Arabidopsis thaliana: one gene and its partners. The protein of the gene in region 1 interacts with the protein of each later gene in a biochemical or structural test. Each region holds a gene or a part of one and is shown on either strand. Other genes may lie near its edges.

What was found.
Region 2: the proteins of AKR2 (region 1) and AT1G59860 form a complex in vitro, tested with the Arabidopsis thaliana proteins (one study listed by BioGRID).
Region 3: the proteins of AKR2 (region 1) and TOC159 form a complex in vitro, tested with the Arabidopsis thaliana proteins (one study listed by BioGRID).
Region 4: the proteins of AKR2 (region 1) and TOC75-III form a complex in vitro, tested with the Arabidopsis thaliana proteins (one study listed by BioGRID).

The regions. Positions count from the first base shown.
Region 1 is NC_003075.7:16,837,936-16,842,493, forward strand, and holds AKR2 (ankyrin repeat-containing protein 2), read left to right. Parts: upstream 1-1,596; 5' UTR 1,597-1,811; exon of another isoform or gene 1,812-1,909; 5' UTR 1,910-1,926; coding exon 1,927-1,963; intron 1,964-1,992; exon of another isoform or gene 1,993-2,059; coding exon 2,060-2,193; intron 2,194-2,274; coding exon 2,275-2,487; intron 2,488-2,581; coding exon 2,582-2,730; intron 2,731-2,796; coding exon 2,797-2,983; intron 2,984-3,112; coding exon 3,113-3,205; intron 3,206-3,486; coding exon 3,487-3,626; intron 3,627-3,724; coding exon 3,725-3,824; 3' UTR 3,825-4,014; downstream 4,015-4,558. Other genes in the region: CLC-E (chloride channel E), read right to left, coding at 1-344, 426-629, 723-1,410; NTRB (NADPH-dependent thioredoxin reductase B), read left to right, coding at 4,283-4,558. UniProt on the Arabidopsis thaliana protein: Exhibits chaperone activity toward chloroplast outer envelope membrane, mitochondrion outer membrane, endoplasmic reticulum membrane and peroxisomal proteins, by recruiting specific proteins containing a single transmembrane associated with an AKR2A-binding sequence (ABS) and subsequently binding glycolipids (e.g. monogalactosyldiacylglycerol (MGDG) and phosphatidylglycerol (PG)) present in the membrane of the target organelle.
Region 2 is NC_003070.9:22,029,387-22,032,750, forward strand, and holds AT1G59860 (HSP20-like chaperones superfamily protein), read left to right. Parts: upstream 1-1,956; 5' UTR 1,957-2,087; coding exon 2,088-2,555; 3' UTR 2,556-2,864; downstream 2,865-3,364. Other genes in the region: AT1G59850 (ARM repeat superfamily protein), read right to left, coding at 1-821; AT1G59865 (uncharacterized protein), read right to left, coding at 2,937-3,060, 3,148-3,253. UniProt on the Arabidopsis thaliana protein: Possesses chaperone activity.
Region 3 is NC_003075.7:1,102,986-1,110,609, reverse strand, and holds the start of TOC159 (translocon at the outer envelope membrane of chloroplasts 159), read right to left. Parts: upstream 6,045-7,624; 5' UTR 5,845-6,044; coding exon 5,781-5,844; intron 5,698-5,780; coding exon 1,250-5,697; 3' UTR 911-1,249; exon of another isoform or gene 844-910; 3' UTR 807-843; exon of another isoform or gene 635-806; 3' UTR 473-634; intron 330-472; 3' UTR 245-329; exon of another isoform or gene 1-244. Other genes in the region: XT2 (UDP-xylosyltransferase 2), read right to left, coding at 7,265-7,624. UniProt on the Arabidopsis thaliana protein: GTPase involved in protein precursor import into chloroplasts. Seems to recognize chloroplast-destined precursor proteins and regulate their presentation to the translocation channel through GTP hydrolysis. Required for chloroplast biogenesis.
Region 4 is NC_003074.8:17,215,305-17,221,443, reverse strand, and holds TOC75-III (translocon at the outer envelope membrane of chloroplasts 75-III), read left to right. Parts: upstream 1-2,032; 5' UTR 2,033-2,147; coding exon 2,148-3,338; intron 3,339-3,616; coding exon 3,617-3,838; intron 3,839-3,926; coding exon 3,927-4,034; intron 4,035-4,153; coding exon 4,154-4,345; intron 4,346-4,423; coding exon 4,424-4,672; intron 4,673-4,758; coding exon 4,759-5,013; intron 5,014-5,100; coding exon 5,101-5,340; 3' UTR 5,341-5,631; downstream 5,632-6,139. Other genes in the region: AT3G46750 (low-temperature-induced protein), read right to left, coding at 1-26, 108-318, 392-885, 975-1,289, 1,398-1,500; AT3G46735 (uncharacterized protein), read right to left, coding at 5,965-6,070; AT3G46730 (NB-ARC domain-containing disease resistance protein), read left to right, coding at 5,832-6,139.

The DNA of each region.
Region 1 (4,558 bases):
AGAAGGAGCATAGTATCCACCGACAAGTCCAGAAGCCCGACACCATGCGGTTGCAGCTATCTTGACCGCTACCAGCTGAAGCAAAAGATCAGCTGAAAGACCCTTCACAAATGGACGTTTCTCCAACAAAATATCCACATTCTGAAAACCCCAGTATAATACTTCAGGGTATACCAAAGCTATGATACCAACACTTAATCCACCCATTACAGGAAATACAGCCTTTGGTATCCCAGCATCCTTGTTAAGACTGTCAACAGCAGATGTCATGGATGATGTACATCGAGATAATGCCAACGAGACCAAGCCACACAGAGCGCCCAATAAAAGATAGAGTGGAAGTTCTGAAAATCAGTGACCAGCTCTCATAAGTTTGGTTTCTGGTTCCCTTGCGTAAAAAGCATAAGAATGGCAATGCATATTACCTCCAGGAGAGCGGAAGTCATAGTCAGGAACCTTAAACGCAGGTTCAGAGCCGAGACCGATTTCGGAAACCACAGAAGCAGTAACAGCACTAAGAATAACCATAGAAGTTGTGTTTGGAAGTGAAGTTGATGAATCAGTTGATGAAGAAGGCCACAAAACGGATTCAACTGCAAAGAAGCATCCAGCCACAGCTGCATTGAACCCTGTAACAACATATAACAAAGTCCTCTTAACGAATCAATCAAGAGTTCCATACGCAAGAGAGAACAACATTAGCAAATATCAGATGAACAAACCAGAGGAAATGCCAGCAGCTGAGCCAGCGGCAAGAAGTGAGAAGCCAGTCTGAGGACTTTTATTGAACAGAGAATTCACACCTTTAGCGATTGACGCTCCAATTTCAACACTTGGACCTTCCGGCCCCAGCGAATTTCCAGTCCCAAGCGTCACACATGCGGCAACAGTCTTAAGGAAAGGACGCAACACTGCCTTTACGCGATCGAGACTAGAATGAGAATCTCCAGTAGATTTTCCAGCAGATTCTCGAAGCTGATTGAGGATGCTCACCACCAAACCGCCGATAGTCGGAACAAGGATAACACGCAACCAATTGGAACCGATCGGTGCCTCTCTAAGCCACGAAGCTCCACGATCAGGAATCCCATCCCAGGAAAAGTCTCGAAGCAAGTGAACACAGTTGTTGAATAGAACCACACTAACTCCAGTGAGAACACCAACCAAACAAGCCGACGCTATCGCAAGCTCCTGAGACGGCTGCTGATCAAATCCAACCTCATCCTGATCAGTCTCCTGCTTCGCCGCCGGTAAACGCGGGAAAATTCTACCGCCAATAGCGACGGAACCGAAAAACGGTGAAAGGACGACATTGAACTGAAAAGGAACGTCGGTTTTGTGAATTGGAGCGAATCTCCGGGAAGAGACGGGAGATCGGAGGGCAGCACAGAGTGGAAGCGTGGCTGCCATGAACGGCTGCTTCCGTGAAGTGACGCGTGTTTATCCATTAACGGATAATTTGATCTTAAATCACAAATCTTACGTGGCTGATCTTATTATTCAAACGCATGGGCTTGGGCCTTGAGGTAAACAGGTTTATATGGGCCAATAACAATAAATTTGATTAAAAATAAAAGGCCTCTTAGCTTTAGGTTCAAACTTCAATGGAGAAGCAGTGGCTGTTGTCCCTCGCAGTTGATCTTCTTCTCAATCCAAAATCCAGCTGATAAATAAATAATTTTTCTCTTGTCGTCATATTAAAAAAAAGAAAGATTATCTGTATTTCAAGTTTCATGAGCGTTTGCCACCACAACATTGTCTTTTCGGGTTAATTTCTTCTTCTTCTTCCTTTTCTTACTAAATTCTCTTAGGTAGTTGTCGATTCGATTTCTTTGTCTTCCTCTTCGCTTATTTTCGTTGAATCTCTTGTTTACACCTTTTCCTGAAAACAAAATTGTGTTTTTTGTAGGGTTTTAGTCATACTTAATGGCTTCCAATTCGGAGAAAAATCCTCTTCTTTCAGGTGATTATTTTCTTCTCAGTATACAATCTGATCTGCGATAATGAATCGTTTCTAGTCAGATTTGGTTATTGGTTCATTGTAATTTGTTTACTGTAGATGAGAAACCCAAATCGACGGAGGAGAATAAGAGTTCTAAGCCGGAATCAGCTTCTGGGAGTTCAACTTCATCAGCTATGCCTGGCTTGAATTTCAATGCTTTTGATTTCTCTAATATGGCTAGTATTCTCAACGTAAGTTACCTTTGCTGTTAGCACAATTGAAAAGTTATCTTCTTTGAGTTTTTTTTTAATTGATAATGGTTTTTTTTGTAGGATCCTAGCATCAGAGAAATGGCTGAGCAAATAGCTAAAGATCCTGCGTTTAACCAATTGGCTGAGCAGCTTCAGAGATCTATTCCTAACGCTGGCCAGGAAGGTGGTTTCCCTAACTTTGATCCTCAACAGTATGTCAATACAATGCAACAGGTTATGCATAACCCTGAGTTTAAGACAATGGCCGAGAAACTTGGTACCGCCTTAGTTCAGGTTAGGAATTGATGACTTTTTCCATCTAATCGAGGTGTGGCTTTGAATGAAGCTCTGTGTCTTATCTGATTTTATTTATTTTTTTTGCCTACAGGATCCACAAATGTCTCCTTTTTTGGATGCTTTCTCGAATCCTGAAACAGCAGAACACTTTACTGAGCGTATGGCGCGGATGAAAGAAGATCCAGAGTTGAAACCTATACTAGATGAGATTGATGCTGGTGGTCCTTCTGCCATGATGAAGTGAGTGATACAAACTTCTTTCAATGTTTTTTAGAGAAACTGTAGAGTTTGTTTCTGTTTATGAAGGAAGAATTATTTATTCTGTTTTAGGTACTGGAATGATCCAGAAGTGCTGAAAAAGCTGGGTGAAGCAATGGGTATGCCTGTTGCTGGCTTACCAGACCAGACTGTTTCAGCTGAACCTGAGGTAGCAGAAGAAGGTGAAGAAGAAGAGTCTATTGTTCACCAAACTGCCAGTCTTGGTGATGTTGAGGTTAGACTGCTTCCTACGTTAATATGCTTGACCATGTGAGATTTATCTTGCGTGTTGCTTGAGGAATTAGATGTTCCAAGTTTTGTTTTGTTGAACTCGTTATTGGATTTTTATTCGTTGATTCATTAGGGTTTGAAAGCTGCCTTGGCATCTGGTGGTAACAAAGATGAAGAAGATTCTGAAGGAAGGACAGCATTGCATTTTGCTTGTGGATACGGCGAGGTATGCAATTCTCTTATCAATTCACGGCAATTAAATATTCGGATTTAGATGGTTCTCTTTTTTTCAGTAGCTGTGAAGTTAAGAATCTTTATAATCATTCAATTGGTAGAAAAGTAACCAGTCTACTTACGTCTACGAGTTTCATGACACAATTACTTATAGCAAGTTCAAATATTTGGTGAAAGAGCAATGAGATGGAACTGGCGATTACTTGCATACTAAAGATTTTGCTTATGAATATGGATTGAACTGAGTTTAACCCTGTTGAGCCCTATCAACAGTTGAAATGTGCTCAAGTTCTTATCGATGCTGGAGCAAGTGTTAATGCGGTTGACAAAAACAAGAACACACCTCTGCATTATGCTGCTGGTTACGGGAGGAAAGAGTGTGTAAGCCTTCTCCTGGAGAATGGTGCTGCAGTGTAAGTCTCACAACACAGTACTTATAATGAAACAACTCCATTAAACACTGTTTCAGGACTTTAATTATATGTGCTTTGGTTGATGTGTGTGGTTGCAGCACTCTGCAAAACCTAGACGAGAAGACGCCAATTGATGTAGCGAAGCTCAACAGCCAGCTGGAGGTGGTGAAGCTGCTTGAGAAGGATGCTTTCCTTTGAGCTCTGCTGGTTAAAGGAAAGCTCTAAGCTCATATTGTCTTTGAGGCATTTGTCTTGTGTGTGTCCTGAACCAGTTTCACAGGCTTTTTGTGTACACTTTTTATTAGTTCCTCTCTTCTTCTAAATTTGTCTCTTATGTTGTTTTAAAAGTCAATAAAGAAAGAAATAGCAATCAATGATTTAATTTATGATTATATTCTTTATTTCGTCGACCTCTACAGAATGATTCAATTTGGAAGAATCATTCTGGTTTGGAGGATATGTAAGAAAAACTACTTGATCTCCAAGTTATTCCATTCTTCTGTTACTGTATTGCCCAAATTCCCAAGCTTGACAATATTTACGCAAAGCTCAAAACCCAAAATATTTGAGAATCAAAACAAAATCAAGGGTCTTGTCTTTTTTTTTTTTTTTGGTGTGAATCAAAGGTCTTGTCTTTGCAAGTAAATTCGTTCCTAATGAACTGTGTGAGTCGTTTAAAGTGTTTGATAAGCAAAGCACGAAGCTTTGCACGGCTTGGTGGTGAATCCACTCTCTCTCAACCGCCGTCTCTCGCCTCCGCCGCGTTTTCTTCATCCGCCGTCATGAATGGTCTCGAAACTCACAACACAAGGCTCTGTATCGTAGGAAGTGGCCCAGCGGCACACACGGCGGCGATTTACGCAGCTAGGGCTGAACTTAAACCTCTTCTCTTCGAAGGATGGATGGCTAACGACATCGCTCCCGGTGGTCAA
Region 2 (3,364 bases), on another chromosome or scaffold:
CGTCTGCTCTCAAGAATACCTAGACATGTCTTCTTATACAGTGGAGCTAATTCTTCTTCTACCATAGCCACTCTAGCCATTGCCTCCGCAGCAGCTTTCCTCGCACGCCAATCGTCGCTGCTTAGAAACTCCGAGACGTTTGGTAAAAGCCAGTCTAGCACCGCCTTTTCGCTGTTTCGACCGCCAACAGCGCCGATTACGGTTCCTATGGCTCCAAGAAGTTCCGCTTTCGCCTTGAAACCTTCCGATTTAAGCAACTTCCCAATCTTCGGCAGGGCCTTCTGCAGTTGCTCAACATCCGGCTCATCTGCTGCGTCTACCGCCGCAGCAAGGCACATAGCAGCGCTGATCTGCGCATTGGGATCGCAATCGTGGATAACCGTTTCGATCATTGGTCCGAAAAGGATGGAGAAAGGCTGTCCGGTGATGTTGGTAGTCATATCAACGGAAGCGGCAACACAAGCGGCACGGACGGAGGAATCAGGATCACGGAGGCGGCGGAGAACGGTGGAGACCATCTTCGAGAGGTGAGGAGCGAGAGAATCGCCATGAGAACGAGAAAGAACAGAGAGAAGCGAAACGCAATGTTTCCTCACCGGAGATTTTGCGGAAGAGTCTGTACTCTGAAGACAGTTAATAAATAAAGAGAAAGTCTCCGGTGAGAGATTAAGAGCGATTGAATCAAGCTCTGCGGCAGCGAGAGCAAGAGTATCGCGATCAGAGAGACGATTGAGACAAGCGATGACTCGTTGCTTGAGATCAGTAACCGTCATAGCCGGCTGTGAATGAGACGGAGAAGAACGGATTTGAACGGAAGGCATTGTGAAAATGTCCGGAGACTTTTTCAGAGATCCGCCATGGAAGGAGAGAAGAAAAAGCTTTGTGGAGAAACTAAGATTTGGCGGCAGAAAAAAGGCTATGAAGATGACTCTACTACGGTTGGTACTTGGCCTTTTTAAACAAGACTCGTCTTTGGCTTGCCTTTTAAACTTGTCATATTTCACTACCTGCCACAAAATTTACATTTACTATTAGTTTATATCCAAAATTTCTAGTTTTCGTAAGACTATGTCCTTTTTTTGTTTCTAAACATCGAATATGTCAAATTTAGTATTATCTTACAATTTTTTTTTGTTGGTCAAAATATTATCTTACTTGTTTCTCGTTTTATGAACGTCTTTGTACATCAAAACAGATTCAATATACCAACAAGGATTCTAACGTACGCAAGGAATAGTTAAGTAAATCCTCTATGTAGTAATGGGAAATTGTTAGGACTTTGAAGTAAGTATCAGAGACTCGTGTATAATAAGGTATTCAAAGTCAGGAAGATAATAAAATATTTGTGTAACTTGGTGGCCACTTAGAAGAAGAACCAAGAATATACAAGCAAAAAGGAAAAAAAACTAGATTCCGTAAGATTTTCTTTTATTTCAATCCTGATTATAATTAAAAGAAGGAAACTATATCCACAACCACAATGTTACACATGAGCTAATGAGCAAGTCAAGCAAACACGGTTTCTTAACGCGTAACCAAACGTGAAATGAACTATTCTTTCTATTTTTCTCAATATTAGGATGACATATATACTGTTATTTAACATCTATATATCTAATAACAAACTAAATCTTCGAATCATACTTTTCTCAACAAAAGATTGCATTGATAAGTTCTTAATTTAAAATATTTATGAGTACATCCAAGACAAAGAATAGTTCTCTATTTTCAGAGAGGACTGCATGTAATGGTAGTAATCATGTTTTCTCTTAGGAAAAAACCCGCACAACGTTTATGGGAAACATGTTTGTGTTTGAATAACCTTTATGGAAAAACAAAAATATTTAGCAACTGATTAAAACTCTTTACACGGCTCATATTTAAATATTGGGCCTTTAGAGCCCATTATGGCCCATAAACACACAACTTGGAACGCTTCTAGACTTTTCTGGATTTGCCTCATTTCTAGAAGCTCTGGAGATTTCTTCTTCATCAATAAATAGAATCAGCAAACTCACCAGCTTTCATCATAAATTCGAAATTCAATTCGTCGGAAAATTGTTCAGATTTCGAAATCAACCGAGAAAATGTCGCTGATTCCAAGCTTCTTCGGCAACAACAGGCGAATCAACAACAACATATTCGATCCATTCTCACTCGACGTATGGGATCCATTCAAGGAACTTCAATTCCCGTCATCGTCTTCGTCGGCGATAGCAAACGCACGTGTGGATTGGAAAGAGACGGCGGAGGCGCACGTGTTCAAGGCGGATTTACCGGGGATGAAGAAAGAAGAGGTTAAAGTAGAGATTGAGGATGATAGTGTGCTTAAGATCAGCGGAGAGAGACACGTTGAGAAAGAGGAGAAGCAGGACACGTGGCATCGTGTAGAGAGATCGAGTGGGGGATTCTCGAGGAAGTTTAGGTTACCGGAGAATGTGAAGATGGATCAAGTTAAAGCTTCAATGGAGAATGGTGTTTTGACTGTGACTGTGCCTAAAGTGGAGACTAATAAGAAGAAGGCTCAAGTTAAGTCTATTGATATCTCTGGCTAAGCCAATTTAGCTTGATTTGAGTTCTCTCTGGGTCTTGACTTTGTGTGTGTGTGTCTCTGATGATTATGGTTCTTCGTTTGATTGTAGTTTTAAACTAATAATCAATGGAAGCTAGTAACTTGTGTGACAAGTAAATGTATGGTGGAGAAATGTGTGTATTTGGATTATAATAGAAATACCTATTTTCATCTAGAAGCTCAGGATCTAGTTATTGATAATTAGAGCTCGAAACTGAGATGGATCTTATTGTTTGGATAGTTGTTTTAACTATTCAGGATCTTATTGTTTGGATAGTTGTTTAACTATTTATAACTAGAGATCGAAATTGAGATGGATCATGAATTTCATTGAAAATTAAGGCTAAACTGTTTGGCTAGTTGTTTAACTCTTAAGCATGTATCTGGAGATATCTTTATTCATTGTTTGATTTTGACATTGTGGTTCATCTTGTTTGATGGAGACTCTTTGTAGGAAATCGCTTTGGCCAACACCAATGTGAACTAGTCTGGCCAATTTAGTTAATTGATTGATCATCATATTGTTTTTGGCATTTTTCAGAACGTGTAATAACAGTGAAGGAATTTTGAGGTACCTGCTCAACTGAATCAGATTCAGGAGGGTTTTAGGAGAGGTAATATGGAAGTAGCAATGCTTAAGAAAGATAAAGCTAGAGCTCTTGATGATCTGCTGAAAATCGACTAAGGAAGCCAATGACAAACTCAGACAGGAAAAAACTGTAAGAAGAAGAAGAAAATAAGAGAAAAGCAACAAAGCTATGGAAAGCTTAACTTTGGATTTGCAAGTTAAGT
Region 3 (7,624 bases), about 16 Mb from region 1:
GCGGCTTTCTCATTGCCCAATTTCTCAGTACTTTCTTTCTGTTGTATCCTCTGTTTTCTTTCAGTTATGTGAGTGTGTGTGTATGCTCTTGAGAGTATCTTTGGCAAAAACTATTTATCTAATCTTCAAGCTATTCTAAAATAAATCAATTAGTTAACTAATGCAAAGATTGCGATGTCTTAACTATGGAGATACTGACTAGTGAGAATAGTATGTAAGGACTTTAGTCTGGTGGAAATCTTACTTTGGAACGTTTCTCCTGGCGAAAGAAGTTGACTTAAGAAGACTTTGAACGTTCTTATCCTTAAAGTTTCCTTGCTTTGTCATGTCTGAAAATGACAAGTAAAATATAGACGTAAGCTTCAAATCAGACAAAACAAAACACATCAGATTTCTGGACCTATTCACCTCTCTATAAATAACAGAAACGGTTAGAGCAGCAAGTTTGTGTTTTTCACCATCAATTTTGTACCTTGACCGCCGTAAACGCAGGGTGAAGAAAGTCCACCTAGTGTTTATCTCCAACTGTTTGCTCGTCTCATTACTCTGATGACTTTGTGGCTACCCAAAGAATTGCGAGTAAAGCCAGCCATATATTTGCAGACTCTGGTCATCCTTTAAGTTAGAGGCTTTGCTACATCAAATATTCACATAAACCATAAAGATTAAGTCCACCAAGAAATATCCTTTATTCGGAGTTTTGTCTGCTAGTATCATCAAGTTTACTTCACCACGATACTCCAATAGTTTCCAGATATTATATAAGAATGAAAATCTATTACAAAGCATTTTTATAAAAAACATACCATTGCCTTCAAGGGACCAAGGAAGAACAGTAAGATCCTGGTGAAGAACACAATGAGATGAGGGTTCTAGTACAAAATCTTATCAACAGTTACAGGCTACGCACCTGCTTTAAAGATTCTTCACCGAGTGATTTGTATCTTCTGCAGAAATTTAGTAACAAATTAGCAAACTCAAACCAAGCAACATCATTAGCATGAGACGTAGACCAAAAGAAGACTGAACTAGATTCCATTATCTGAAGAACAGCAAGAGAAGCTGAGAAGGGCTAATGAAAGTGAAGAATTACTGATACATGATAAATTAAATCCGATGGGAACCTCTCAACAGAACCAAAATACAACTTTGATAAACTTCAACAAAGTTTTTATTAAAGTGGGGGAAAAACATGAACTAAAAACCAGTAATAAAAGAAAAGATCATTCTGCAGCATTCATCAGCATATTTAGTACATGCTGTACTTGTCGTTCGTCGCTTCGGGTCGAATGCTCTTGTAGATGGACATGGCAATTGGAAGAATGGCTGTGAGAGCGATTTGCAACTGATCCGAGCTGCTGGTTCTGACTGTGATCTGTCCGCTCATCTTGTTGTTAAGTCCTGCACGAAGCGCAATCTTTGAGTTCCTTCCAACAGAGACTTGAGATTGGAGATTGGCTCCAAGGGCTAAATCGCCTCTCCACTTTACCAGAGACAGCCCAAAAGAAGATTGGTCCTGTCCAATTGGGAAATCAGCTTCCCTAAGCCTGACCTCGAGGTTCGCACCATAGGCCGAATCTCCCTGTGATCGCATTGTCCCAGTGCTGCCCACAAGCACCAACCTTTTCCCCAGTGCTATTTGGTCCTCGAGTTTGACCCCAGTGGCGATGTTCTCTCCCAAGAATGTCACTGACCCTCCAACAGTTGTCTTGTTCTTCCTCAAATTCTTGAATTTGGTTTCTCCTCTGACCACATATGCCAGCTGCTTGCCTACATTCTGAATATCGAACCCTGCCATGGTGGATCCATTCTCCCCGTGCTTAGCAGACACAGAGGAGTCCAGATGAATGTTGAACTCTTTCTTGTCCTTGGTGACTTGGACAGTAGCTGTGGCAGGGAACCGGCTAGCTAGAGCAAGACTGTGTTCTGCATTGACGCCGTCATATCCACAGTCATGGTCCCAACCATGGGTATCCAACACTGGCCTGGTTAGGAGTTGTGAAGTGGGTTCCAGATATCGGTATCGGTAAGCTGAGTTATCACTATCAAATGAAGGTGGCAAAACCATATCGGGTAATGGAACTGGCACTGCAGCTGGAGCCCCGTTTTCTGGATCATCTTCTTCTCCCGGATAACCAAACTCACTTTCACCCAGCTTCTTCCCGTTTTTCTTCATTTCTTTCATCCTCTTTAATTCCTCTCTCCATTGCTTCTTCTGCAGGAGCTTTACACGGTAATCATACTCCTCGAAATATGCCTTTCTCTGTTCATTTGAGAGCTTTGCAAGTTGGGTTTTTCGAAGAGGCTTAAATGGTGGCAGCTGGTCATACTCATCATCTTCCCCATCTTCCTGCTCAGAATCAGACACATCATCAATTTCGATATCAGAGTCAACACTATCACCACCTTGGTCTCCAGGGAGCTTAGGATGTGCACGGGACTGCAACAGCCAAGACAACAAGTAAGGGAGAGGCGGGGATCTAACTCGGAAACCAAATACTTTACGATGGTCCAATGGTTCTTGAGGCCTCAATAGAGAATTTGTTTCTGACAAAACCTTCAGGGAGTAACACAATAGCAACAGCTGAGATCTCCAAGTTTGGCCATTCGGGAGAACCTTCACTCCCTCCCGGTTCTTCCTACACAAGGGGTGATTCTCAACAAGTGAAACTGGATTCATCAGACTTGGATTCATCAAGCGTAGATCTCCAACAGCCTGTCCTATAGACTGTTGCACAATATGTGAGCACTGCGCTACAAACACATCATAGCTCAATGGGGTGCCAGATGGGCCATCAGGAGGGGCAGAAGCCGCATGGGTCAATGTCACTATAGCGTTTTTCCATATGGATGTACCAAGAGAAGCAGTAATCGTCCTTAGCAAGGGCAAATTGTTCAAGTCCCTGGTCTGGGTGTCAAGACGATCTACATATAGTACAATATCAGGGGGACACTTCTTCATTACCTTCTTTACAGAGGACAACATTTTTGCATTTGTACTTTGATCCATCGCAGCAGACTTCAAACCCGGAGTATCAATAAAGGTAATCTTGACACCATTCACCGTTCCAGAAATTTCTCTAACCGAAGTGGTTGAGAGCCCAAAAGCATCAATGGACGCAATCTGGTTTCCCAAAATGGAATTTATAGTAGCACTTTTTCCCACCCCGGCTTTTCCAAGGACCAGTATGTTTAGGGAGAAGATCAATTCTTCGTTGCCCTCAGCCTCAGACTCCACAGCCTTCTTCTTTGCAGCATCAAGACTGAATAACTGCCCTGCTTGTCTCCCAGCAAGTAGTGCAAGACGGTAAAGAACCTGCGCTGCAATTGAATCTTCTGCCGAATGACCCAACCTTTGCAAAAGCCGCAAAAACTTCACACGGAGGCTTTGCAACTTTTCTAATTTCTGTTTCTCTTCCTCGCTCAAGTTAATCTCAGTCTCATCTGCCATTGTGACATTAGAATTGGAAAAGATGTTGGAACGGTTTGCACGTGGAGCTGCTGCAGGCTTCAAGGGCCTTAACGATGAACTCAAACCAGCAGGTCGATCCATAGAGAAAAGCTTCGTGCCATCCTGAGATGTTATGGTAAAATTGCCACCTTCTGAACTTCCACCACCAGTGGCTGCCTTCAAAAGCGCAGCCAAAGCTGCAGTATCAAACATTTTCTCCTCACCTTCATCCTCTGTGTCTACATCCTCGTCAGAATCGGTGACAATCTGGCCATCAATCCTATCTGACATATTGTTAGAAATGTTTGCTTCATCAGAATGTGCCTCTATACCAGAAGAAGCCTTTTCCAACTCTGCTAAGAACTGTTTTGCAGCTTCAGAACTCCCAAATATCATCTCTTCAGTTTCTTCTTCACTTTCAGACCCATCAACCCTGGTAACACCTTCGCCAGAAGGTTCCTGGTCCACTTCCTTGCCTCCAAAGCTAAACTCACGAGAAGAAACAATGTCTTCGACTGGGAGCTTGTTTTCATCCTCTTCAGCACTGTCCCCTTCGACAACTTTCCGAACCTCAAACTGTGACTCAGCTGCAGGAATTGAATCCTCTTCTGCATCAACTGAACCCACTTTTAAACTTTCAGAAACAGGCAATTCTTCTACTTCCACACCTACTTTTGGTTCGTCTGGCTCTACTTTGGCAGCCTCTGATATTTCCTTAACAGCCAATTCAAAATTTCCATCATATGCAGCAGTCAGGTCATCAGGTTCCTCAATATTTGAGATGGTCTTGTCAACCTCATCATCTTTATCATCTTCCTTAATTACAGCCTCCTTAGCCGCCCCGACAACCACAACCCCTGGCTCTGCAACATTGATATCAGCATCAACAGAGTCCACCACAGAGGAGTCAACCATAGAGTCTCCTTCACTAACCAACTTTCCTCCTCCCTCCTCTGTGGCTTTATCGGATTCAAGTTCAACTTCACCACCTTCACCTTGGCCAATTGGATCAAACTTATTATGCACATCAGGGATGTTGCCATCAGTTTCCAGCACCTCACTCACCTCTACGTCTCCAACAACAACAACCCCTGGCTTTGCCACATCTACATTCACAGCTTCAATAGCAGATGAGTCCACCACAAAGTCTCCTTTGTTGTTTAACTTAACACCTTCTTCTGCATCATCGACTATGCCACCGAGCACACTCTCCTCCTCTTTGGTTCCATTGTCAGCTACTGCACTAGCTGCCTTGATTACTTCAGCATAAGTCATACCCTTCTCCAATCCGTTGGCTTTTTCCACATCCTTTGGTTCACTCCCACTCTCGGCAGCTACAACCTCTGGCTCTACAGCACTGGTATCCACAGATTCTAACTTAGAGGAGTCTGCAATAGAGTCTGATTCGCTAGTAAATTTTTCTTCTACCTCCTCAATGGCCTTGTCAGACACAGGTTCAAATTCACCACTATCATCATCCCCAATTTGATCAAACTTATTAGCCACTTCAAGAGTTTCAGCATCAGCATTAATCTTCAACTCCTCACTTCCCTCTGCGTCTCCTACAACAACCACCCCTGGTTTTGCCACATCAACATGCACTGATTCTACAGGGGACGAGTTCACAATGACGTCTCCTTTATCAGTTAACTCCACACCCTCTTCTTCAATAACATTATCACTTTTATCGTCAACATCAACTTTTCCACCCAACTCACTCTCCCCCTCATCATCTTTTTTTGTTCCAACATCTTCTTCTTCCACATCCTTCACTTTACTCTCACTCTCCCCATCTGTGGAAGCCTGTTTCACATCAACATCAACACTCCCATTTTCAATCTTACTCTCACCATCGTCTTTAATATCCTCCACGTCCTCCTTAACCTTCTTATTCTCCTCCACAACCCCTACACCATCAGAAACAGCCTCCGGCTTCGGAGATAACGATGAAACATCATCTACACCAATTGTCTCACCAGAAACCACCTCAGGCTTCGGAGTAGCCTCAGGAGTAGTAGAATCCTCCTTTAAAGAACCATCCACCTCGTCGGAAACCTTCCCATCACCCACCAAATTCGGCTTCTCCTTCTCGGAGTCAGATAAATCATCAGCTCCAACCTTATCCGAATTACCAGACACAGCCTCCGATGAGGAATCCAACTCCTTGGCACTACTCACAGCACCACCATCCTCCTTATCGGCGGCTGCAGCAGCAGCGGCGGCGACAACAGAAGCATAGGTTTTTCCTGATAACAAAATATCCTTCCGATTAAAACCCTATTCCCAAAAACGCAGATTAAAGAAGATATAAACGAGAAAGAAGAAAAACCTGATTGCCCCGAAGAAGCGTAGAAGGGGTTGGTTGGTTCTGGAGTAACCGACTTTGAGTCCATTTCCGCTTTGCTACTGAGACTCTTTCTCCGCCAAACTTGTGGAGGAAGGAGATAGCGATAGATAGATAGGGTTTAAAGGAATTTACCCTTTTTTGTGTGAAGGTTTTTATGATTGAGAATTTGGCTGCTCTCTCTCTTTTGAAGAAGAGAGAATTGGGAGAGATAAGGTCACTCGGCGAACAAAAAATGACTCTTCGTTTTTCTTCTTTGCCTTGGGATTTTATCTTCTCAGTTTGTGTTTTGAGGATGATGATGAAATTACCGAATTACCCTCGCTTCTATGTTGGTGAAGTTTCCAAGAGGGCTCTCTTTTGTGCTACGCTTTAAACTGTGTCGCTTCATTGGCTCAAGCCAAAATATATAGAGTTTCTTTTTTTATTTGAGGAAGAAGTACAATAATCATTTGTGGTTAAAATTTGAAAAACATTGTATCATTTTAAAAAACAGTAATTTTTTTGTCAAGAATTTTCAATTTTTGTTGAGTAAATTTAGAATATTTTAGTCACTTTTTGGAAAGTATTTACTGTTTAATATTTTGTTTTTATTATGCACAATTCTCCAAATGTTAAAATCTTCCCCAATGGAAAATGTTTTGATGGGCTCACTAAATCTAGGGTTTTTGAACTCATGAGAATTAGGGTTTTGTTATATCTTCTCTTTACTAAAAACCAAAAAAACCACACAACAACAAAATAAAATAAAACATTTAAAATAAAAAACGAGATAACATTTTGAGATTTGGGTTTTATAAAGAAGAAAGAAATCTTTTTTGTATCTTTGTTGATCCTCCCTACCCGAAATTGCTTGGCCACAAACGATTTTCTCACCATTATCTACGAATTATCTTGGATTTTTGTATAACACGGATTCCATATATTAGGCCGTGATTTTAGTTTTCAGATGGGCTTTTATAAGGCCTCCCCCTAATAATAGCCCGTATACATGATTTTATTATCAATTAAAGACATTCAGATTTCAGATACAACAACCCATACTGCAAAAGAATCTGACCACATGCCAAATTTTGTTTTTCGAATTAAACTCCTAAACTACACAAAACTTGTGAATATGATCTCAGAACTATACTAACTCAATGTGATTTTTTCACATTTTGCATACTAAAAGTAAATAATTAGTTGAATGTGAAATCAGGTTAAAAAAAAGTTCTTGAATTAACACAGATTATTGATCCATGAAGCTACAAAATCTCAAGTTCTAATGGATTACAAAGAACAAAAAGGAAGAAAAACAACATTTTGATTTCGTAATAGAACTCTAGACGTAGAGACAAAGTAAAACCAAAGAATTAACTGATGTCTCTGCACAATACTTTATCATCCATCTTAGTACAACAACAAGCAAAGACACAAGACATAAATATAGCGAGAAACATAACACAAATCCTAAACGCAAAACCGATTCAAACTTGATTGGTTTGTACCTTAACCGCCTTAAACGCCGGATGAAGCAACCCGAGCTCGTCTTTCATCTCCAACGGATTGCTAGTCTCGTTCCGCACTCTCTTGACTTTACGACTAGCCAAAGATTTGTGAGTGAAACCATAGATTTGCAGAATCTGGTTATCTCCAAAGTTAAAGGCTCTGTCCATTTGTTTTAGACACCGTTCCACCGGGTAATCACCAAATTTCCCACACGGTTTGCAACCGACAAAGTGAGTCACCAATGGCCATCTGTGATCTCCTAGACCCGGGTGGTAGTTTTCTATCATTTCTTCATATCTGTCCACAAGAATCCCCCAGTAACCGTGAAGATAGTATCC
Region 4 (6,139 bases), on another chromosome or scaffold:
CTTTCCATGATTTTCTGCTTCAACAACTGCAGCAGAATCAAATGCATCAGAATACAATTGCAGGTGTGTCAAATTGTTAATAGTTGAGGAATAAAAGAGGAACTCACTTTCATTTGTGTTGGCTACAAGAGGAGCTTTGTTGTCTGCTGAATTTGAAGCAGGTGCCATGTTTGTGGCTGCACCAAAACTAGAAGTCTGAGAAGAACCTTTACGAGGACTGATAGCTTTAGATATCACTCGAGAAAGTTCTCTATCGTCTTCGCTAGGCTCAAACTTCTGCGATATGTATTCCTTCATTGATACGCCTTTGTCCCATACCTGGTTACAAACACAAGATGATTGACTGATGTATTTACCTAAATGCACAAACAGATAGAGAACTTTGTCGTACCTTGGTATTGAAGCCAGTGGGCTGGTTAGTTCCGGCAGTGTTGATTTCTGCAACATCATTTACCTCTTCTTCTCGCTCTGTTGGTTCTGGAAAAGCCATATCTTGAATCTTCTTAGTTATAGCTTGAGTTGCGTCAGAGACTTTAGCATAACCAGGTGCTAGCTTCTCTGTCACAGTTTCTGTTACTGTCTTGCTTGGACTAATAGGTTCCTGCTGGCTCGTGCACTCTTTCCTTGTCTTCTCAGACGATTCTGTTACTATTGTTGTTGTGTCAGAATCAGCAGGCTTCTCTTGCTTGACATCAGATAAAACATTCTTCTCAGAGATCACAGGATGTTCTGTTTTGGAACCATTACAATCTTTTTGTTCTTGTTCAGCGTCCTGTTTGGCTGGGAGAACAGACAAGACATTTGTCTCAGTGATCACAGGATTCTCTCGGGGATGCTGCCTTGCTGTCTCCTTTAACTCTTCAGGTGCCTTCTTTGATTCATACACTGAAAATAACACAAGAAGATCGATCAGTTTTAAGCAAATTCCTAAAAGGGTGGTTGTTACTTATGAAGCTTTGTTCAATTTCATTTACTTGGGGCTCCAAGATATTCAGGATCTTCTTCTTCTTCTTCTCCTCCTTCTTCTCTGACTTTACGGTCTTTTGACTTGTCACGTGGTGACAATGACGCATAACCAACTTCTCTAACTTCATGATCTTCGGATCTGCAAAACGGTGACATGGTTGCATCACCTTCTTCATCATGTCTCTTCTTGGTGCTGAGACTGTGCTGCAGTTTTTTCGCCTTATCCTTCATTTTAGAGAACAAAGATTTCTTATGGTGAGAATGTTCTCCATCATTTTCTTTTCTTGGTGAACCAGAAGGTGACCGCTTTGAAGCTTCACCAGCTGAAAAAAAGTATGACAAACAGATTTCAAACCAAGAGTTTGCGTCCAAAATCATCAAATCACTGAGAGTAAACAAAATGGATATTATCATTTCTTGGAGAGACTTACATTGGTGACGCTGGCTAAGTGTTGAGAAGCTAGGATTTCCAGAATGATCAACATGTGTTTTTAAGCTTTCGAGCTCAGCGACGGGGTCTAGTTGACGCGACATTTCAGAAACACAAAGTTCTTGTAGATGTTCTGTTTAGGAACTCTGATCCTCTGAGAACAACATAAGATAGATATAAGACAAGAAAAACTGTGCATGTCGTCTTGTTTCTCCGAGGTTCTTGGACAAACCATAAGAAAAAAAAATGCTTAAAATAGTCATGGTCTCTTATTGGAGAAGCATGAAGGGAAGACAAAGTCTTGGCCTGAGAAATTGACGTTTGAAGCTGAATTATAGGACTCACATTTGTAGAGTTTTCTAGAGAAAAACTGGAACCATAAATAACAAATACACTGTTTAAAGAACTTAAGCAAAACTTGTCTCTGAACTTTAATGACCAAAATATTAAGACTATGTGAGAAAAATGTAAGAACACATTTGTCTGGATAAAATGCATAAGTTACAGAATTATCACAGACTAAACATTTTTCAAGAACCTAGTCAGAAGTTTACTCATTTGTCTCACTGAAACTGCGTGCTGTTTCTAACTAAAGTAAACGTCACGCAGTTCTATGTTAAATAAACAAAACGTAATGTAGTCTAAAAGGAAAGTCTCTCTACCTGCTTAAAACCCAAAAGTACATTTTTTCGCCGAAGCCAAAAATCTTCACTTGCTTCTTCTTCTCTCTGAAACCTTATCTTCTCCGCCCATGGCCGCCTTCTCCGTCAACGGGCAGCTTATCCCGACGGCAACAAGCTCCACTGCTTCCACCTCTCTCTCTTCCCGTCGGAAATTTCTCTCTCCTTCCTCGTCTCGTCTCCCTCGCATCTCCACTCAATCTCCTCGTGTCCCATCGATAAAATGCAGCAAAAGCTTACCTAACCGAGATACAGAGACTTCCTCAAAGGATTCTCTCCTTAAAAACCTAGCTAAACCTCTAGCCGTAGCCTCAGTCTCCTCCGCTGCTTCATTCTTTCTGTTCCGAATCTCGAATCTTCCGTCGGTTCTGACCGGTGGTGGAGGAGGAGGAGATGGGAATTTCGGTGGATTTGGTGGTGGAGGTGGTGGTGGAGATGGAAATGATGGTGGATTTTGGGGGAAATTGTTTTCTCCTTCACCAGCGGTTGCTGATGAAGAACAATCACCGGATTGGGATTCTCATGGTTTACCGGCGAATATCGTTGTGCAATTGAACAAGCTTAGTGGTTTCAAGAAGTATAAGGTATCTGATATTATGTTCTTTGATCGACGGAGACAAACCACTATTGGTACTGAAGATTCCTTCTTCGAGATGGTCTCGATTCGTCCTGGTGGAGTTTACACTAAAGCTCAATTGCAGAAGGAGCTTGAAACCCTAGCTACTTGTGGAATGTTTGAGAAAGTTGATTTGGAAGGGAAAACGAAACCTGATGGAACCCTAGGTGTTACAATCTCGTTTGCTGAGAGTACATGGCAATCTGCTGATAGGTTTAGATGTATTAACGTTGGGTTAATGGTACAGTCGAAACCTATTGAGATGGATTCAGATATGACTGATAAAGAGAAGCTTGAGTATTACAGGAGTTTGGAGAAGGATTACAAGAGGAGAATTGATAGGGCACGGCCTTGTTTGTTGCCTGCACCTGTGTATGGTGAGGTTATGCAGATGTTGAGGGATCAAGGGAAAGTGAGTGCTAGGCTGTTGCAGAGGATTAGGGACCGTGTTCAGAAATGGTATCATGATGAAGGGTATGCTTGTGCTCAAGTTGTGAATTTTGGGAATTTGAATACTAAGGAGGTTGTTTGTGAAGTTGTGGAAGGTGATATAACTCAGCTAGTTATTCAGTTTCAAGATAAGCTTGGTAATGTGGTTGAAGGAAATACTCAAGTTCCTGTGGTGCGCAGGGAATTGCCTAAGCAGGTATGTTTCTCAAGTTCTGCTATGTCAGATATGTCATTGTTGATGTGATCATGATTTAGTATAGGATGATGACGAAAGTGTAGTTATGTTATAGATTGATATGTCAGGAAAAAATTGACAGACTTTTAACTTGAACTTGCTATTTAAGTCTGATGGATGTAAGAGGTTTAATTGCTTCAATGAACTCATTGTACAAATGTTTTATATTCCAGACATGTAATGATATATCTCATTTGTTATGTTAGTTTTAGTGATAGTTTCGATGTTTCGTTGAACAGCTTCGCCAAGGCTATGTTTTCAACATTGAAGCTGGGAAAAAAGCTCTCAGTAACATCAATTCATTGGGGCTGTTCTCTAACATTGAAGTCAATCCACGCCCAGATGAGAAAAATGAAGGGGGCATTATTGTTGAGATCAAGCTTAAGGAGCTAGAACAGAAGTCAGCTGAAGTCAGTACAGAATGGAGTATTGTTCCTGGGCGTGGAGGAGCTCCCACATTGGTATGAATCCTTCCTTACTGAAATAAGTACAGATTGTAAAATTTGAGAAGTTCCATTGAGTTTGATTGTTATTGTTTATATGCATCAGGCTTCATTCCAGCCAGGTGGTTCTGTTACTTTCGAGCATCGAAACCTCCAGGGTCTTAATAGGTCTCTCATGGGTTCAGTGACCACTAGCAACTTCTTGAATCCTCAGGTACATTCGATAAGCTTACATGATTGATACATCTCTGGTTCAACTTTTCGGTTGATAACATCCATCTATTTCTGTTTCTATGTGCTAAGCACAAACCTTATGTTACATTTTTTCCTCAGGATGATCTTTCGTTTAAGCTTGAGTATGTGCACCCGTATCTGGATGGTGTTTACAATCCTCGGAACCGAACATTCAAAACAAGCTGCTTCAACAGCCGCAAACTTAGCCCAGTATTCACTGGAGGACCTGGTGTTGAGGAAGTGCCACCAATTTGGGTTGACCGAGCTGGTGTGAAAGCTAATATAACTGAGGTAAGCTTGCCAATCCTCAGTGCCATAATCGACTTATTTTGTCCTACAAACACTTAACTGAAACATATTTTCATGCAGAACTTCACCCGTCAGAGTAAGTTTACATATGGACTTGTGATGGAGGAGATAACAACCCGAGATGAAAGCAGTCACATTGCTGCAAATGGTCAGAGACTACTACCTAGCGGTGGAATCAGTGCTGATGGACCTCCAACAACTCTCAGTGGTACCGGTGTCGATCGAATGGCTTTTCTACAAGCCAACATCACCCGTGACAATACCAAATTTGTTAATGGGGCAGTTGTTGGACAGAGGACTGTCTTTCAGGTTTGCTTTCCCAATGATCAAATGAGATTATAAGGATGAGTCATCTGTATATTGTAAGCTTTACACAATGTATTTGCAAATCACAGGTTGATCAGGGATTGGGTATTGGGAGCAAATTCCCGTTCTTCAACCGCCACCAGTTAACCATGACAAAATTCATTCAGTTGCGGGAAGTAGAACAAGGGGCTGGTAAGTCACCACCACCAGTTCTAGTCCTCCATGGGCATTACGGAGGCTGCGTTGGCGACCTTCCAAGCTACGATGCTTTTGTCCTCGGTGGTCCGTACTCTGTCCGTGGCTACAACATGGGAGAGCTCGGTGCTGCTAGAAACATTGCCGAGGTAATACAGCAAACACTCAAAACAAAAACAGTCTTTTCTCCTAAACCCGAAAAATATGTGTGTCTAATTTGGTTTCATGGATTACAGGTCGGTGCTGAGATCAGAATACCCGTGAAGAACACACATGTCTACGCTTTTGTTGAGCATGGAAATGATTTAGGAAGCTCAAAGGATGTGAAGGGAAACCCTACAGCAGTGTACAGGAGAACGGGTCAGGGTTCATCCTATGGTGCAGGTGTGAAACTCGGTTTGGTCCGAGCTGAGTATGCTGTAGATCACAACAATGGAACCGGTGCTCTGTTCTTCCGATTTGGAGAGAGGTATTAAGGTAATGTGAGAAGCAGGCTCATGTTATCCACCTTAGTCTTTTCATTTTCTCTGTTGAGGATCTGCTATTTTTCTCTTTTTTCCTTTTCTTTTGTGTTTTCTTTTTTTTTTTCTACTTCTTTTTCAATAATTGTTTAATGTTAGTGTTTGATGACGTTGCTGAGTTGTGCTGAGAATCGGGAAAGAGTTTGTTCTTCGTAATATGTCTAGACTTTTGTAGGAAAATTTTGAAACTTTCAAGTTTCAAAAAATCGTATGAATAGTTGACAAATGAAAATTTATATTGGTAACACGTCTGTCTGCATCTGAGTTCTCTTTTAAAAATAACGAATAAGGGATAGTGCAATAGAATTTAATCAAATGTCAACACCAAACATCTACAAAGTCAAGTGTCAGAGGCTTTCGAAAACTTGAAATTGTTGACATTAGGAAACAAAGCATATCTTCAATCTTCTCCATATTTTGAAATCTTTCAATTTGATTCTGTTGAGATGGTAGATGCTGTCACTGGTTTCGTTTTGAATAAGATCGGCGGCTATCTCATCAATGAAGTATTGGCGTTGATGGGAGTCAAAGATGATCTAGAGGAGCTGAAGACGGAGTTGACGTGCATCCATGGTTATCTTAAGGATGTTGAAGCTCGAGAAAGAGAAGATGAGGTCTCGAAAGAGTGGACAAAACTGGTTTTAGATATCGCCTATGATATCGAGGATGTTTTGGACACCTATTTCTTGAAACTTGAAGAAAGATCACTAAGACGAGGCTTGTTGAGATTGACCAACAAAATAGGCAAAAAGAG